Linked DNA regions of Drosophila melanogaster. The protein of the gene in region 1 binds, or shares a complex with, the protein of each later gene. Each region holds a gene or a part of one and is shown in the gene's direction. Other genes may lie near its edges.

Evidence for each region.
Region 2: MED26 (region 1) and MED16 share a complex: the UniProt entries of both Drosophila melanogaster proteins name them as parts of the mediator complex.
Region 3: MED26 (region 1) and MED1 share a complex: the UniProt entries of both Drosophila melanogaster proteins name them as parts of the mediator complex.

What each region holds. Positions count from the first base shown.
Region 1 is NC_004353.4:787,343-791,097, reverse strand, and holds the start of MED26 (mediator complex subunit 26), read left to right. Parts: upstream 1-2,119; 5' UTR 2,120-2,203; intron 2,204-3,483; exon of another isoform or gene 3,484-3,646; intron 3,647-3,755. UniProt on the Drosophila melanogaster protein: Component of the Mediator complex, a coactivator involved in the regulated transcription of nearly all RNA polymerase II-dependent genes.
Region 2 is NT_033778.4:22,181,438-22,185,192, forward strand, and holds the start of MED16 (mediator complex subunit 16), read left to right. Parts: upstream 1-1,700; 5' UTR 1,701-1,773; coding exon 1,774-3,755. Other genes in the region: CG11275 (uncharacterized protein), read left to right, coding at 1-1,092. UniProt on the Drosophila melanogaster protein: Component of the Mediator complex, a coactivator involved in the regulated transcription of nearly all RNA polymerase II-dependent genes.
Region 3 is NT_037436.4:21,632,278-21,636,032, reverse strand, and holds the start of MED1 (mediator complex subunit 1), read left to right. Parts: upstream 1-1,586; 5' UTR 1,587-1,737; coding exon 1,738-1,771; intron 1,772-1,836; coding exon 1,837-3,117; intron 3,118-3,193; coding exon 3,194-3,755. Other genes in the region: ORMDL (orosomucoid 1-like), read right to left, coding at 1-46, 264-415, 472-648. UniProt on the Drosophila melanogaster protein: Component of the Mediator complex, a coactivator involved in the regulated transcription of nearly all RNA polymerase II-dependent genes.

The sequences.
Region 1 (3,755 bases):
AGGTAACAATAGAAAATGTACCTCACTACTTGAAGTCACCAATGAGAAACCTTACTTTACCTTAAATAATAAAAAATATATGTTTTATGACATTCCGCATCTTTTCAAGTCTGTAAGGAATAATTTTCTAAGAGCTAATTTTGAAACCCCTGACGGACTAGTTGACTTTGATGTCATTCGAGAGGTTTACGAATTAGATCATGGATCAGTAACGAGAATGACTAAATTAACAAGGAGTCACGTTAATCCAACCAGATTTGAGCTAATGCGCGTATGTTTGGCAACTCAAACACTTAGCCACACTGTTGCAGCGGCAATTAAGACTTGTAACCAAAACAAGCAATTACATCGAAATAGTTCCGAAGTTGCAGCTTCTACGGCTGCATTTGTCCAAAAAGATAATGATTACTTTGATTGCCTGAATAGCAGAGTATTAACTGACAAAAACCCCATGAAATGCGCGCTCCAAGTTAACAATGGAGTTTGGAACAAACTAAAGGAAATGCAGGAATACCTAAAGAGCGTTAAATATCACGGGAATAAAATATATTGTGTTGATGGCTTGATCCAAACTACTGAAGCTATATTTGGACTCGTCGAAGATCTCTTTAAGGATCACACAGACCACTTTTTCTTTTTAACTAGTAGAGTTAACCAGGATCCCCTTGAAAATATATTTGCGTGCGTTCGAGCAAAAGGTGGTAACTGCAGAAATCCTTCAGTTAACGAATTTAATATAATAATTGCCAAGCTCATATCTCTACACATTTTTAAATTTTCACAAAAGTCGAATTGCGAATCAGATGATGATGTTATGTTGCCAATAGAGTTCGATTCGATAATATATCAGCCTTTCGTTGAAAAAAAAGAAATACAGCAACAAGAATACTCTGTATCATTTTCCAAAATCGTGCAAGACAATGAGAGGTACTTTGACCAAAATATAGATAACTTTTTGTGCAATGATGTACCCATTGAATTAACTTCCAGTAGATATTTTGTTGGATATATTGCTAAGGGATCCAGTTGCGATAAATGCAGATCGGTAATTTTAAAAGAAACCGAGCATTTAACAGCTCCATCAGAGCTTTTTATACATGAGAAAAACTACTCAATAGAATCGGACTTCGGGAAATTAAGGGCACCATCTGATTTATTTTTTAATATTTACAAAATACACATTAAAGCTTTCGAAAATATTTTTAAAAATAATAAAAAACAAATGTGTATAAAAAAATTTATTGTTGAGCAATGCATTAAGTGCACAAATGAAAGTAGTGCCTTCCCATTATGGTTTTATGAAAATAATGAATGTTATGCACATAGAACAGATCTTTTAAACAAACTTATAAAAGTTTTGCTTTTTAAGCATTGTAAGTGGACTGTGATAGCTGATAGACAAAAAAAGCAAGCTAAGCTCAGCATTCTATCTCATGAATAAAAAAAATGAGCGTTATTTAAATAACTGACGACTGAAAAATCGAGCAATATATAATAAAAAACAATAGTTAGAAAAATAACTTAATTGGGGAATATGGAAATGTTTTAATGTTAAACATTAAAATATTTCAAGTCGACTCGAAGGTCATATACGTAAATATAAGACCCCATTACAATTGTAATGGCCTCCCCGTAGTGTTCCCTGGGTACCGACTATTACACATATTACACATAAATAATTATCAACATAAATATAAATATGTAAACGGTAGCTAATTCGAGCGGCGATTTTAACAAACGAATTTAAAAAGCTTTAAAATTAAAAAATTTTAAAATTAAAATTAAAATTTTAAAATTATAATAAGAAGGGCGCGAATTTTTAAAAATTATTTTATTTCATCATATTGCTACGAAATTGGCAAAAAACTACCCTAATATGTACAATGTAAATTCATTTCTTTGATCAGAATTGATTTCGGCCCGAAAATCGTCTTCTAGCACAACACCCACACATATACGCGTTCCCGTCTCTTGTTTTTACTCACACAAGCAAGCAAATTCTATTTTTAGATTTCTTATGTTCTCAGCGTGAGCGAGCGGAAAGAGAGCAATTTTGGCCGTCACCAAAAAAGTGGCTGCATAGTGCCAAACCAATGTATGGCCGTTACGCATCTTGTTATTCTAGTGTCTTTGGTATGGCCGTTACGCATCTTGTTATTTATATGGCTTTGAATAGACCATGTGCAGTGTGATTAATGTGGGGGTATGTATTAAAAACGACATATAATATAAGTATATTTATGTATGTGCAAAAGGAATATATCAGGATATTTCGGTAAGAGCGACAAACCAGCCAAGTGTGAATTTATGAAGTTGATGCATCTATATTTTTGCAAATCTCAAGTTTATATGCAGAAGAGTCACTGTCGTTATATTTGAATTTTGCTCACTAGCGGAGATGATTAAATTTTTTATTATTGTACTGAAATACAAAAATGTTTTTTAAACTTAATTAGCATTTTAAGTAATAATAGTTTTTCTCCGGTATTCTAACGTTACCAGTGTGAACGGATCGGACAAGCATTCTTCCTAATTTAGTACTACTAACCGTTTATATTCCAATTACACTATATATATGGACACAGTCAGTTTTGGTTTTTGTCAAACACGGAAACACAGTATAAGCATGGGGTAGCTCAGTTCTTAGACGGGAAGGTCAATAAAATCTCTTCTGCTCGAGGTTCAGAATAAGAATAATATTATAGAACATATTAAAAAAAAAGCCGCTGTGGTAAAATGTGAATATAAAAAATTAAACATATTCTTTTTCTGTTGCTTATTAAATGTAAAATATATTCTTATATACAAAAGGCTTCCAAAGGTTTTGCAATAAGAAAAAAATATATACTCGATTTTGGTGCTGAAGGATAGTACTATAGTTTACTTTTTTTCAATTGTGAGATGATCCCTTAACCCAAGTTATGGGGTTTGGTAATTGTAAGCCATTTGTTTGTTTTTTGTTTTTGAAGAACACCGAGAGCATTTGTTTTGTACAAATCCTATATATACACACTTTTTTCAAATATTTCGCATTGAAATGAAAGAGTTTAAGAATCTTTATATATCCTTAACAAAAAAAAAACGGCATTGCTAGTCCGAATAAAATAAGTTAAGGGTAAAAAAACAAACAATATTTTAATATTCTCCATATTAAGTAAAGCGGGTAACTGGACGGAGAATCTACGAAATCGTTTTATATTTTACAAAATATATAGGACAACGGGAAAATATCCAAACCACAAAGCAACAAAACCTTCATTTTCTGGTCTGGTATATTTGACCCTTTTTTCATTTTGAGATTCACGCATTTAGCCCAAAAATGGACGTTTACTTTATATAATACTCCTATAGGTTTTCATGTCACATATAATACAATTCCTCTTCAATTCTGTTTGATAGCAGTATGATCAGGCCTTCCTGTTAAAAGAAATTCACGTGAAAGTATATCGATAATAATTGTTAAATACTTATCGATTTTCTGCCACCCTTGAAGTGCAGCTGTCATTGGTAAAAATGGCGAATTGTAATAAAGTCGGGAAGTCAACCATAAATTATTAATTTTCCTTATTTTGGACAAATACAAATTTTCATATTCAAGGAAGTGCGCTCAGGAAGCACAGACTTTACATTCGAAGTGTGCATATTTGTAAGCATAACGATTGAGCAATACACGTTTTGTATTGGTATGAGTGTTTCACAGACACGCTACTAACTCGGGTATTAAAATTTTTGAACTTCTGGGTCTTTAAACTTTA
Region 2 (3,755 bases), on another chromosome or scaffold:
CCCGTTTTCGAGGCAATGTTCTTTGGTCCCATGCAAAACAACGAGCCCGAGCCGGAAATCGAAATCCACGACATAAGCTCTGCCATCTTCAAGGTGCTGGTGGAGTACATCTACACGGGCGTCGTTGACTACAATGGCCTGGAGCTGGTGGCCTGCATTGAGCTGTACTACGCCGCTGAGAAGTATCTGCTGGAGGAGCTGATCGCCGACACGCTGATGGTTATCACCCGCAAGCTGCGATTTGCCAATATCTTGCCCGCTCTAGAGCTAAGTGTTTGCATGGGCCTCGACGGGTTGCTGGAGGTCTGCATGACCTTTTTCATGCGATGCTGTGTTAATAATGGACAGTATATGAGCCACCTTAAGGAGCACTATGTGCACGTGTCCAAGGAGTGTGTGAAGGCCATAATAGCGGCGTGCAAGGAACCGCACAAGTTACTCATCTGGTATGTTTATGAGTGGACACGACAGGAGTGCGAGCAGTTGGGTCTGGGTCCCAGCGATGCCGACTTAGTAGTGCACGACTTGGGTGGCAAAACAAGCGACTGGCCTGCGGCTTCGGGTGCTAGTGATTTGGAATCACCTGCCCTAACTCCGGTGGTTTTGGTGGAGCGCTGCTATTACAAGGCCTGCAGGCCCTTTACAGTGGATGCAGAAACTCCGCTGTTTCGCTTGCGTCTAAAGTGCTCTAGATTTATCTCCTTGATGGGCTTGGTCCTGAACAGCAGGCTGACTCCCAACCTATTGGGTCACGTCCAGCAGCTGGAGTACCGCGAATCGCTGCGGCTGGACCTTTGCGAGGTGCCCGCTGAAAGCGAGGGTCCGGCCACGTCGCCCGTATGGAGTCACGTTGTCCAGAGCCAGAATACCAAGTACAACTGCAACCTGCATCTTGGCTGGCGACGCGAAGAGGCCTGTGTGCTGAATCCGGAGCTGACCTATGAGCTGCAGATCCGCTGGGACAGCAGTGCTTACGGCGCCGAGTATCCGTGCAGCCTGCAGTCCTGCCAGGCGGACGGAATTCGGTTCACTGACGAGGACAGCTTCAGCGGAAGTCTCGTCAAGGGACTGCGCTATGCCAACCTGGTGTAGCCACTTCAGCCGCGATATCATAATTAGTTAGTCCGTAAGACGTGTATGTATTTATTGCCCTAAGTTAATGTACGCTGCCTCAGAGTTCAATAAACTGTGAGTAATATCGCTTCAAACACAAGACGTCTGCTGATAAATATAAAAAGCCGGTTTGCAGCCGTTTTTGTTTGGCGAACGAATCGAACTCGATCGGGGAACGGCGTCCTGGCTGCGAATACGGAAACTTATCTCACCTGTTGTTGCGGCCACTAAAAAAAAAAAATCGGTAAAACAATAAACTATAATATAATCACCAGATGTAAACAAAGCGAAATTGAACGAGGGACAGTGTGGCCAACTGGTCATAATAATTCTTGCTTAAATTGGGGCGACCGTAAAATAATTAACAGTGAGAAACTGGCTATTATTTAATAACTTAATTTTTGTTTAAATGATTAATGATTTAAAGCTGCTGCGCTGTAAAAGCTTTATTTGCTGTTCAGAATTAAAATATTAATGAGCACTATCTTAAATCTAAACATAAAAACCAAACATTTTACAGTAACAATGGAATCAAAAATGCAGTGGAAAAGCGCTAAACACCCGCGAAACAGTGCTGTAAAGTTCTTCACAGAGTAGTGTTGGCAGACGCCGGGTGCAAAACAATAATAGTCCGCTTTGGTTTTTGTTTACGCTGCAAAAATGACGATTTTGTACAAAGTGGAGGGCAAGGAGTTCAGCAAGGACAGCGTTTTTCCGCACAAGAAGGTCCTCTGCTCAGTCTCCGCACGGAACATCGTTGCGTTTAGCGCCCTCCAGAGCGCCATATTTCCGGCTTCCCACGGAGGAGATGCCGGCGATGGATCCTTGCCGGGAGCGGGTTTGGCCGTAGGCGCGAGCAACAGCCATGTGTACGTGTGCGACATCGTGACGCCGTGGGAATACTATAAGGTGTGCTCCTCCAAATCGCTTATCAGCGTCCTCCAGTGGAGTCCCAATGGGGAGCAACTGCTGCTTGGATACGTCGGCGGTCGCGTCGAGATCTGGCAGCCGAGGAACCAGTCAATTAACCTATGGGTGCTGCAGTATTACGCCACCGTGCCCAGCGAGGACATTATAGAAGCACAGTTCTTTCAGAATGGCAAAGGAGTGATCTTCAATGCGCTGAAGAAGGATCACACCTACTATGCGGAGAAGTTCGAGCGGGTGGAGCAGCAGAGGCCCACTCTCAGCGGATTTGGCGGAGTGGCCAGCGAGGGATGCGTGCTACTCACTTCCTCAGGCCTGCTGGCCGCCTTCAGTCTCCCCGCAATCCAAAAGACATCCGCCGCAGGAGCTGATGGTCCTGCCCACGAGGTCGTCGAGTTGACACCCGCGCTCCACAGCATCGGCATATCGCGCAGCTTCATCGAACACTGCAGCATGACGCCAAGTCCATCGGGAGCCCTTAATATCGCTTTCAGCTGTGGCTGGCAGCAACAGTTGGTGCAATGCTTTAAGGTCTCGCTTTCATTGGAGGGCGAACTGGGTCTGGAGCAGCACTTGGCCATCAAATCCGAGTCCCAGACCAGCATATTTCTGGGTCCTCTTGACGGGAGGCGGATCAGTCACCTAAAATGGACGCGAATAGCCAACGAGGATGTGATTTTTATAGCCTACGCTTGTCCAGATGGTGCTGGCAGCCAACTGGAGCAATGGACATTGACACGCCGTCACCAAAGTGTCCACGCCCTTCTCCAGGGTGGAGGAGGTGCCAACAACAAGCCAAATGAGTTCGTGCAATCGGAAAGCTGGGAGCAGGTGGGCAAAGTGCAACTAAATGCATCCTTGGCGGATATCAGCGTTACACGACTATCGGTATCAACGCCGGACTCTTGCCAAGTGTACGCCATTCTGCAGGACAACAGCGTCCAGGTGCTGGAGCCCAACTCGATGAAGCAGCTTAATCACACCCAGTTTGATAGGTTATCTGACGCCAGTGGAGCAGTAAAGTTCGTTAGCGGCGACTTGACACCTAGCAGCCAAATTCTCCTAATCTTTGATAGCCATGCACAACTTTACGCCATGCAGGCACCTCTGCCGAAGCAAGGAGGATCTGGTTTGCTACTTCTGGAATATTGCATCGTTACAGGTTGCGATGCCAGCGATGTGCTACTCCTTAATCTAGGCAACCTGGAGGCTCTGGTGGAGAAGCTAACCGACAACTTTACGCGGCAACCTTCCTTTGTGCGGCACTTTTATTATGCTAATTTTTTGGCCCTCAAGTCCAACATATGCCGCATGCAGCAGCAGGAGTTTGACAATCTCATTATCCTACACGCAATATCCACCACATTCAAGAGCCTCCTGCGACCGTCTGATCTGGGTTTCCAGGATAAAGGACCTGCCGATAACTTGGCCATCAAGCTGGCCGAATCCATTCCGGATGTGGACACCGTGATGCTGAACCTGGACGCCAAGGACTTTACAGTGGAGCCGGTGATGCTGCAAAGTCTACAGCAACTGATTCAGTGGGTCACCGACCTGGCACTCAACATGCTGCATCGTCTGCCCGAGGAGGTAATGAAGACCAAGCTCTCCGGAAAGCGGCCTAGCTACGATATCAGCCGAGACATCGTGGCCATCAGCAGTCTGCGCGAGCTGCTGGTTATGATCCGCATTTGGGGCCTGTTAAACACCCAGTG
Region 3 (3,755 bases), on another chromosome or scaffold:
AAAGTGTTCCGTGTTGTTTCGGGTGTACAGACAGGTAAGTAGGAAACTATAAAAAAATCAATTATTTCATGAGTTTCTATGTTAGGCATTATATGGTAGCAATTACATTACTAGTTCAATTAAACTGCAGTACATAAAAAGTATTTATTGAAATACTTTGATCAACATTAAAACAAGTTTAGAATTTAAGTCTTCATTTAGTTTTAATTTTTTTAAATAAAAACCCACCTATATTGGCCGACTTTCAGTACGTATTCACTTACAGAACAATGGGAACAGCTGTGAGGAACTTGCGCGTTGTGGTCATCTGTACCCCGTCATCGATCTGTTCCCAGTGCGTCCAACGCCGGCTGGGATCGTTCTCCGTGCTCAGCCAGGGAGCGCCCTTGATGACGTGCAGAAAGTACAGGTGGGCCTGGCAAGAGGGATTAGGATAAGGACTGACTCCTCAACGGCGCCATGAGCACTCACTGCATTGTGAAGCAGGTTGGTAGCCGTCCAGGCCCATGGAATGCTAACGAAGGGCACTGATAAGAAGAGCAGGTGCACCGACAGCAGGCCCAGGAGGTATGCTAGCCAAAATCCCCGGGCACTCAGCCAGGAGCTGTTTGGATTCGCCTCGCCGTGGCCTCCCGCAATGGACGTCATGTGGCTGAATTGTTAACCTTTGGTTCCGAAACACTTTAATAACAAATATTTATCATTTACGCTCAATGTGACCGCGCATGCATACAAATATCGCTCTGCACTTTGATGATAATAAATATACCAAAATAATTTAGAGAAAACAGAAATTTGAAATACTTTAAATGTTTAATAAAATTTGAATTTAAGCTTTTGCAATTTTCTATGAAATATAACATCTACCTTTAGTAAAGGTTATGACTACTTTTGATTTGTCGGACCAAACCTATATTCAATATAATCCGTATATCTGTCGTAGTTTAGGTAAGTACGAGGAAGAGAGGAACGCTTAAGACTTATCATGAATTTAGCGAAATAAAATTTGTTTAAGTCGTAAGCTGTATTTGTTTACTTATTTGATTAGTCCTTAAAGTTTTTTTTAGCTGATATTTATTTTTATAGGATTATAGTTTCTTTCAAATCTCAAGAAACTTTAAATAATCATTTTCGGTTTCTTGGAACAGAAACCCCAAATTAAACTTTATGCCAATAAGACATTTAGAAATCATTGGAAATTTTAAATAAATATTAAATCATCGGTATTAAATTATGAGGCCTGTAATTTATTTTTTAACGAAAGAATGTTTGAGCTTTTCTGTTCATTACAATACCCTTGTAGCTTAAGAGAAAATTCGAGTAGGAAATGAGGCACAATTACATCATAAAAAATAGAATGTAAAAGTACCAGAAGGATGTATAGAATATAGATGTTAATTGCTTCATTATATTTACCCCTCATACTAAAAAATATAACATACATAATTGAACAGGCAATTGATACAAGCTTTGAATCAGAATACATCGAATATCAAATGACGCAGTGGAAATATCATAGTTCCGTTTTATATTCCAGTATTTTATTATAGCGTGACCAGCCACTGTGAAGGATCAGCCATTTTGTTGTTTTGGCGTTGAAATTTTTTTGCCATGATGAAGGCATAGAAAAAAGGTTCTGAGCTATTTAGATCGAGAACTTTTTCATTTGCCGCAATTCTTTGTCAAAAATGCCACAGCATCATTAAGTAAATACAGTTTACTTAGGAACGCATAGATATGAGCGGATCCAATGCAAAGTCCTCGGGGACTGGTAAGTACTAATATATACCCCCATAACTAAGATGTCCGGAGCACCACTGACACAAATCTGCACAGGCTTCGGCAGCCACATTCCCAGCATCGAGGAAAAGAACAAGCAGATCCAGCAGGAAACCATGATGGAGAAGCTGCGGGCCAAGTACCGGAACAAGCCAAAGAGCTACGAGGAGATCAAGAAGTCGGTGCGTATGTACTTTATCGAGAAGCACTACCCTCTGGACCCCCTGTGCAAGGCCACGCTGCAGTCGGCGCTGGACAAGTTGCAGCACTACATCAAGGTCACGTCACGCCACGGCCTTGTGGAGCGTTTGGAGAGCCTCTCGCGCCAGTTGGGCCTCAAGTTCATGGAGGACCAGCAGCTTCTCTTCATATCAACGGACATGTTCTACGTAGAGATCCTGCTGGACGCCGCCGGCAGTCTGTCGGACGTCAAGGTGCACCACGAGTGCAAGATCGAGCAACAGTCCAGCGAGCTAGTGGCCTGCCTCAAGTCTGGCGACTTTGCAGACTTTACGGTTCAACTCGAGGGTCTGTCCTCCATTTACCAGCTGAATGCCGAGCCCAAGGTGAAAAAGAAGGCGTTTGTAGCGCTTCAGGCCATGGAGACGGATATCCAGAGCCTATACCAACTGCACCTGCAAGGTCACTCCGGAGACAGCTACTCACTTATGACAAGTTCATCGGTGGGTCTTGTGCTGCCCCGTCGCGGTGGCCATCCTATGAGGCTTACTTATTTCTGCCCGCCGCTCCACCTTCCCGAAGGGGATCCCAAACTGGCCAGCGGCGATTTCACCATCGACCAGGTAATGCGAAGCAGCTACGGACTGAGTGCCACTATCAATCTCGAAGGCTCATCAGCCAACAAACTGCAGACTTTGCCAACGGTGACTTTGGTCCGCGATGCCCAAACGGGGTTGGAGGTTCCCACCTATGCCCAACTTAACCAGAACAACTCGCTGCTGATGCCGGCCACGTTTGTGCTTCGGCTGAACAAACCCATGCCTGTTTGCCTGGAATCACTAAAGGCTCTCGGTCTGCCCGGTCTAGACTCAGTTGCCACTCCTCCTGGTCCGCCCACCACAGTGCTTAATCTCATAGTACAAACTGCATCGAAGCAGGCCATTAAGAACACACAGCGCGGCCTGTATGTGAATTTACCTAAAGAGACGCACTGCTATTTCTTTACCGACAACCGCAAACTGCAGGGAACTCTGGTGTCATCACTGCCCTTCACTGAACCCGCCCAGGTTCCGCGAATCGTGGCGTTCCTCAAGAAACAAGCTCTCTTCTACACCCTGCTCGCAAGCTGTGTTCGTGAGCAGCAGAAGCAGTATAATGGTGAGTTGGGTGCTCCACTTCCCCCCACATTCCTGTTTTATGATAATAATATTTTTTTTATGCTCATTCGTCCCAGATATGGACAGCACTGTGATACTGGAGGTAACCGCCGTTTCATTTAATCAAATCACGGTTGAGCTGCAGCACCCGTACGAAGAGTCGCTGGCCACTGTGGATTTTCTGCTTGAGGATGGTCAGCCCACGTGCAGCGTTTACTGTCTGACCAACGAATACGAGCTGCTGTCCCAGAAGTTAACCCGCACCGCGCGCAAAGTGGTATCCATTCCGATGGTAATCTACAAGTTGCTTAAGTGCTGGGATGAGGAGCACGAATTCAAACTGCATGGCGCGATTGGACCTGGATCTGGTTCTGGAGCAATCGGAGGTGGAGGCATGAGTGGTGGTGGACCTGTCTCAGGAGTAGGCAATAACTTTAGCCAGTTTTCAATGGATACGCCGACGCCTTCCGATGGAAGCCTACCCGGAGGTGGCTTCGCCAACATTAACAACCTTAAAATGGATGCGAAGTCGCGATCTCTAGCGGATGCTTTTGCCGCTTCTACTTCGGCAGCAGCGGCCATAGCGGGTTTGATCAATCTTAAGCGGGAAACCGATCCACAGTCTGGTAGTTCGGCCAG